Caenorhabditis elegans: one gene and its partner. The protein of the gene in region 1 purifies or fractionates together with the protein of each later gene. This does not show direct contact. Each region holds a gene or a part of one and is shown on either strand. Other genes may lie near its edges. The genes, in order: rpl-7A and rpl-34.

Region 1 (4,068 bases):
GGCCGGATCATTTCGGTATATTTCGAGCGGGAAGAGCTTCTTGTGCGGCAATAACATTGAATTGTTGGTGCATTTTCCACCGCATCCGCAAAGCTCGGAGCACGCGAACCCGGCGTGATCGTAGTAATGATCCTTCGGGTTGAAGAAGTAGATGGGTTTGAAGGATGTCTGAAATTTCAAAGGGTTAGAAGAGCAGAAAGGGCGATTCTACAAAATGAACCAATTTGGCATGTTCTCCCAACATTTTTCATTAAAGTTAAGTGATAAACCACAGAAAAACGCCTGTTTTATCTGAAAATTACTTTTATTTAGCTTGAAACAACTGAAAAAGTGCTCGAAAGTTGTCTTTCCCGGCAATTTTCCACTTTCAGACACTATATTTTCGCACAAAATTTCAATAAAAAATATCGGAAAATCATGCCATATCGGCTCGTTTTCTAGAATTCCTGAAGCTTCATCCACATACGAATTCAGTTTTTCCACAACCCTCCCGTGGTATTTGAAATCCTTGCATGCGCTGGTTCATAATGAAGCACGGGCATTTTTCGTTCTCGTAGCAAGGGACAATCGGCTTTGAAGAGCAACATGTACACCGTATCTGAATAAAAATACGATTTTTTTGCTGTGAAAAATGAATTTAAAAAAATGCTACAAACCATATTTTCTCCGTTTTCCTCAGACATTATGATCGCTTTCGTTAAATTGGGCTCTGTGAACTGATCGACCATGTTCACGTCAGTGTAGTCGTAGGTAAGGGTTACCGGAATCTCCAGAGACTCTAAAGTCTCGCCTTCAAGATCCGAATACACTGGAATGACGTCATTCTCGTTGAATGTGAGGTTCGATTTTATCCGTATCCTGTTTTTCGGCGGCTCGTAAGCTGGGAAATATTCCTGTAGACTTCTGAAAATCCTCCATATTTTCGATTTTCAGTAAGAAAAAGAACATTTATGCTTACTCGGGGGTGATTTCCGTCGATGTGCCCTGTTCTGCCAGCAAATGCTTCATCAAATTATTGTTAGTCCTGGCCATTACTATCCGCTGGGCTATGAAGCGCATGCACCGCCCGAGATCCTTGTTTTCAGTCTCTTGGTACTCATAATACGTGTTCAGCTCGGGATCATCGCGAATTCTCTCCAGCAGATTCAAATGAGCGTTCAGTGTTATTATGTTCGGCTCCACATTGATCCTTGTCAATTCTGAATTATCCTTGAGTAGCTGGCAACGATCGCGATAACTTGACAACTGATATGAGGAGTATCGCAAATACACTGGAAGTTCCAACTTGAAAGGAGGTGCTTTGAAAGCGAATTTTATCACACGTAACATTTCCGATGTTTTGTCAGCTGAATATTTTTTCAGCGCACGCTTCGTCTCGACATACTTCGCGTCTTCATCATCTGTCGGTAGCCGCATTGCCTTGGATCTTTTCCTTGGAGGTTCCGCATTGGATGATTTGTCGTCTGAATATTTAAAAAAATCAATAATATTGTTATCATGCTATCAGAAAAAAAAATTAACATACCGTTTTCTCCTATGGATCTTTTTTGGGCCTTAGATTTTAATTTCTCGGCATCTACAGGCATTGGAGTAGTTTTAAGTCGCTGAAAATCTACATGTGGAATATATAAAAAATTATTAAGCAAGGTCCAACGACAAAAATGATCCAAAAAGCGTTTTCTGAGTTGAAAACTCGAAAATGTTGTTTCGTTTTCGCGAATTTTAAGACAAAAAACTCAATTTCAAACAGCGCGCGCAAAAGGCGCAGCATGTGCGCCCTGCCGCACACATTTCGCTACTGACTATCAAACGTTGAATACTCAGTCAACGACTGTCCTTGGCCTAAAAATCGTCGCTCATTTTACTTTTGGGCCCGTCGTCCATACAAGATGGTGAGTTTTTTCTTAATTTGCATTAAACTTGTCATTTTTGTCATAGTTTTATGCAAATTTTCCCAATTTTTATGTTAAATTATATAATTTTCCTGTTTCAGCCTAGCAAGAAGGTTATCAAGAAGAAAGTCGCCGCTGTTCCGGCGCACATTCGTGCCCAAACTCAAGTCCAGAAGGAAGTGAAGAACCCACTCTTCGAGAAGAGAGCTCGCAACTTCAACATCGGTACGTTTCGAAACAATTCGTAGTTTCTCTCGACATGTGACTAGCGATCCTCTTCGGGGTTGATTGCTTTTCTTAGTGGAGCATCGGGGGCTTTCTGTAAAGTTGACTCCGATCCACCTTGTCGTATACCAACAGTCTGTGTGGCCCTCTACCGCTATTTGAGATGCCCGGGCTGGATTGCATATTCCTTATCCTTCCGTAGATCCTATGGGTCCGTGACGGTTAGGACAAACCATGCAAATTACAAATATCCTAAAAACGTTCCAAGATTTTATTATAATTAAATCTTTTTACAGGACAAGACATCCAGCCAAAGAAGGACGTCACCCGATTCGTCAAATGGCCAAAGTACATCCGTCTCCAGCGTCAATCCGCCATTCTCCAGAAGCGCCTGAAGGTTCCACCAACCATCAACCAGTTCAGAACCGCTCTTGACAGCCAGTCCGGTTGGTATAGCTAATTTTTTATCAGAGTCATGTACTATAAGCAAGCCTTGAGCTTTGCACTGACGCATTTACTCTGATAGGTGAAGTAAGGCTTTTGACTTTACGCTGTTATGTTTCCAGTGGTAATTTTCTGTTTTCAGCTAGACAAGCCTTCAAGCTCTTGGACAAGTACCGCCCGGAGTCGACCGAGGCCAAGAAGAACCGTCTCCGTGCTCGTGCCGAGGCTCGCGCTGCTGGAAAGAAGGAGGAGGTCACCAAGAGACCAAACACCGTTCGCCACGGAGTCAACACCATCACCAGACTCGTCGAGACCCGCAGAGCTCAATTGGTTCTCATCGCTCACGACGTCAACCCACTCGAGATCGTGCTCCACCTTCCAGCCCTCTGCAGAAAGTACAACGTTCCATACGCCATCATCAAGGGAAAGGCTTCCCTCGGAACCGTCGTCCGCAGAAAGACCACCGCCGCTGTTGCTCTCGTCGATGTCAACCCGTAAGTTTCAGATTCTATAGTTTCTTGAGCAAATAATTATTTCTTTGTATTCAGAGAGGACAAATCTGCCTTGAACAAGCTCGTCGAGACCGTCAACAACAACTTCAGCGAGCGTCACGAGGAGATCCGCAAGCACTGGGGAGGAGGTGTCATGTCCGCCAAGTCTGATGCCAAGAAGCTCAAGATCGAGCGCGCTCGTGCCCGTGATCTTGGAAAGCTCTAAATTGTTTTTGTTGATAATAAAAACTTGTTATTCAAAGCTTGTATCTTTTTCAATAATTGGTAGTCTTCGTGGTACTCATTTGGATCGGTCTTGTTGGATATTGTTGAGAACAGTTTTCCCGAGAAGTGTCTCCCTAGTTCGTCGTTGTCTTGGAGCTTGCTGGTTGTCTGCGATATGGTTTCACTGAACAATTCTAGTTGGGTTCAATTCCGGGTGTCACAGCCACAACTGTCCAGAAACTTGCAGAGTGCGATAAGAGTTCGGCTATTTTGTGTATCTTGCCTTTACAGTGCTCTTTAAATTACATAAGGGTTCATTAAAATACGTAACGAAATATTTAAGGGGAAATCACAACACTGATGAAATTGGGGAAAACTAGTAAGCACGACAAATACATCAATCAATACAATTTAGATCTTTGCCTCGATAAGCTTCTCCAGAGTTCTGGCGTCTTTGGCAAAGTTGCGGATTCCTTCGGCGAGCTTCTCGGTGGCCATGGCGTCCTCGTTGAGAGCCCATCTGAACGCCTTCTCGTCAATGCTCACTTTCGGCAGGTCGAGTGTCTTGGCTGGAAAATAATTAAAAATTGCAATTTTTAATTGATTAAATCTCCCGCTCACCATGAGAAGTGGAGAGCACAACTGGAGCAAGTTCCGTCTCCGCAGCAAGTTGCTTCAGAAGAGCCGGAGAAATAGTAAGAAGATCACATCCAACAAGTCCCTTGATCTCTTCAGTATTACGGAACGAGGCAGCCATCACTTGTGTCTTATAGTCGTATTTCTTGTAATAA
Region 2 (3,118 bases), 7.9 Mb from region 1:
TAATTACTATGATTTCAGAAGTAACAACCTGCACAATCATCCCTGTCTAATTTCTCAAGCAGGTGCACAAGCAACAATGCGTCTTGCTTCGAAAGATCAACTGCGTTCAGATTGGAATACTTCTGTAGAAATACCTTTTTGTCTATACGTAACGCAGGTTCGTATAATATGCATCTCTTAAACTAATTTTTCAAAATTTAATTCCAGAATGGTGTATGTCCCCGGCAGTTCGACTACGAAGATTTGCATAAACAATCACAATGGGTAGCGTTATTCGAAGAAGTAATTCTGCCACTTGACAAGATGCAAGGAAGTAAACTGTCAAAAATTGCACCACATCAGCATAGTTCTGTCGTTAAAAATGCTATAATGGTAATATTCGAACTCTGGTGTACCTACATTTTGTTTTTTTTTTCAGAAGTCGAAAAGAGAGAAAAAGACGAGTTGCAAGAAGCACTCAAAATCAATTTCTGGCATAGATTCGTCTAGTAGTGGATGCAATTCGTTGTAACACTATATTTTTAATATTATATAACTAAATCTAACTTAACTTACATTTCCCTGTGATATATATATTTATGTTTTGCTCGATTAAACTAGTTTCTTTCATAACAATTTATTGAAAACAACAAAACGAACGAGCTTAGTCCTTCTGGTGCTTGATGACCTTGTTGACGATCTTCTGCTCCTCGACGAGGAAAGCACGGGTAATGCGCTCCTTAACGGCGTTTGGTGAGAGGCATCCTCCGTAGGCTCTGGTGACGGTACGCTCGTTTCTCTTGAGAAGGCGGAGAGCGATTGGGCGAGCTGGGGTGATCTGAAAGCGACAATAATTAATTTGAAAATTCTTGTTGATGTTCAAAACTCAGATTTCAATTTACAATTAAGGTGCCTATATTGTGATAAACTACTTGAAATAAAAATAATTAGAAGTAAAAACGTACTCCGTGGAGCTTGACTCCGGTGTCTCTGCACTTTGGAATTTGTCCTCTCTTCTTGATGTATTGGACAACGAGACGTCCTCCTGGGGTCTTGACAAGACGCTTCTTGTTGGAGGTGGTGTTGTACGACAAACGGCGTCTGTAGGTAACGCGGAGGGACATTTTTTACCTGAAAAATATGCAAGTATTATTTCGAAACAAAAAAATACAGATACGAAAATTAGAGAAAGAATATTTGAAATTATCATTATATGCATGCTAAAACGCCGAATTTCAACTGGAATTAATTTAGCAGGGCTGAAATAATACTAAACACGTAAAATGTTCTTGTAATTCGTTTGAAACACCACTTAAAATAGGAAAACGATTAAAATCTAATTTTTCGACAATTATCACTTTTTGGGCATTTAATAGGCGTTTTTTCATCGATTATGGATTTTACATGAATACGAACATTATATTGAATTTTTAATACGTATTTTGTATGATAAAATCGGTCAAAACCTTAAAAAATCAACAAAAAAGAGTAGGAAAAGGAAAAATTTCTCAATTTAGTGAGACGGCTGTTCCTCGGCGCGAAGACTACGGTAACACTCGTTTACCATGTGTCGTTGCATTCATTTCGCTCGTAAATCGACACAAGAGGAGAGACGGAGTGTCTCTGGCTTAACCAGCAGAATAACGCCGAATCAATAAGAGCTAACGAAGGAAAGAGGGCTTAAAACAGAACATCATTTTCTTCGGAAATGTCTCATCGAGATTTCTATTTTAGTTTTAGTAGATTTTCAATATTTCCTGAATTTCAAAGCGTTTGGAAATTTTAAAAGTATAAATATTTTCATTTAAGAAAGTTAAAGATGGATATTGCTGCACGGGTGATATCCGTTGTCGGTCGAACATCAACTTCTGATCCGTCAACGGCTTCTTCTAGTAATCCACCAAAAGTGGGAAGAGTGATGGATGTCAGTGATGGTGTTTTTATTGGTGGATTCATTCCATGTAAGAATTCTCGTAGTTTTGCAATCTTTTCAATATGAAAGCCTCGAATTCCAGCACTAATCGAAAAACAAAGATATCCATACAGTCGCCCCGAATTTTTGTATTTTTCTGAAGAAGAAATCGCATTATCATCTGATCATTCTGTCCGTCCTGTTCTTTGTCCCAGATTTCCACACCGAATGCCCCTTTATGTTGGTTATGCAGAAGCAATAAATGCGGGTATTATTGAGAAAATCTTCAATTTTGTTGGAAAAAAAATAAAATTTAGGAAAAACTGTCCAAAATGAGGATCAAGCCTCTGCAAAAATGTTAGTTCTGACACAACACCAGGGAAACGAAATGAACGGGTTTTCGTCCGACGAAAAGAAATCTGAAACGAGAAAAAGAAATTCCAATGAAAATGATGATGATCCAATGTTAACGCCTGGAGGAGATGATACCGTGAGCTATCTGAATGTCGTAAATGTGAATTGTAAATAGTTTTTTTTAAATGTTTCCAACTTTAAAAATATTGTAATTTCTCACTATTCTGGAACACGTACTTAAAGGCGCACAGACTTATGCGGATTGATTTCACCACGAAAACAATCAAGCATTTTTTGCAGCTTTTAAAGTTTACAGTAACGAAAAGAAGTTTGCTATAACGAAATCCCGAACAAAAAAATGGCAGTGAAAATTCCAAAAAGTGATGTTTAACACAATTCCCGCGGCAACCTATTCAAATCAATCCGTACGATAAAGTAGAAATTGAATTCCAATTATTAGTTGGCCCCCTCTCTCTTGTTTCATCAGAATATATTTCTCGGTTCCAGGAAAAATCCAGCATGTTTGCTCCACGAGCCGACGGAGCTCTATTCAGTTTATTCGATGGTCATGCTGGCTCGGCAGTTGCTGTTGTCGCCAGTAAGTGCCTTCATGAGCACGTAAAGTCTCGGTTATGTGAAGTACTCGACACTATTCTTCACATGGATCGACATGAGAATTTAAACTTTGGGAAGCACCGATCCGAATCATCGTACAGTATGAGTGAGGTAAACCCCCACAGTGGTTTTCATTTTCTCGTAATCTTTTTTAGATGAGTCGGGAAGACGAAAACCGAATTCGAAGTGAGCATTTGGTGAAAGGAGCTCTAGAGACTGCATTTTTGGATATGGATGAGCAAATTGCACAGGATAAAC

The links.
Region 2: the proteins of rpl-7A (region 1) and rpl-34 purify together in Caenorhabditis elegans (affinity purification with mass spectrometry; 2 studies listed by BioGRID, with this or other methods). This does not show direct contact.

What each region holds. Positions count from the first base shown.
Region 1 is NC_003282.8:4,388,386-4,392,453, reverse strand, and holds rpl-7A (Large ribosomal subunit protein eL8), read left to right. Parts: upstream 1-1,863; 5' UTR 1,864-1,889; coding exon 1,890-1,892; intron 1,893-1,993; coding exon 1,994-2,117; intron 2,118-2,145; exon of another isoform or gene 2,146-2,366; intron 2,367-2,413; coding exon 2,414-2,563; exon of another isoform or gene 2,564-2,650; intron 2,651-2,703; coding exon 2,704-3,055; intron 3,056-3,109; coding exon 3,110-3,278; 3' UTR 3,279-3,311; downstream 3,312-4,068. Other genes in the region: set-21 (SET domain-containing protein), read right to left, coding at 1-168, 467-598, 657-903, 959-1,463, 1,526-1,586; tald-1 (Transaldolase), read right to left, coding at 3,689-3,846, 3,899-4,068.
Region 2 is NC_003282.8:12,266,987-12,270,104, reverse strand, and holds rpl-34 (Large ribosomal subunit protein eL34), read right to left. Parts: upstream 1,111-3,118; 5' UTR 1,104-1,110; coding exon 945-1,103; intron 818-944; coding exon 644-817; 3' UTR 572-643; downstream 1-571. Other genes in the region: C42C1.3 (Ovule protein), read left to right, coding at 19-157, 208-372, 419-511; ppm-1.H (PPM-type phosphatase domain-containing protein), read left to right, coding at 1,799-1,940, 1,995-2,159, 2,209-2,381, 2,753-2,971, 3,016-3,118.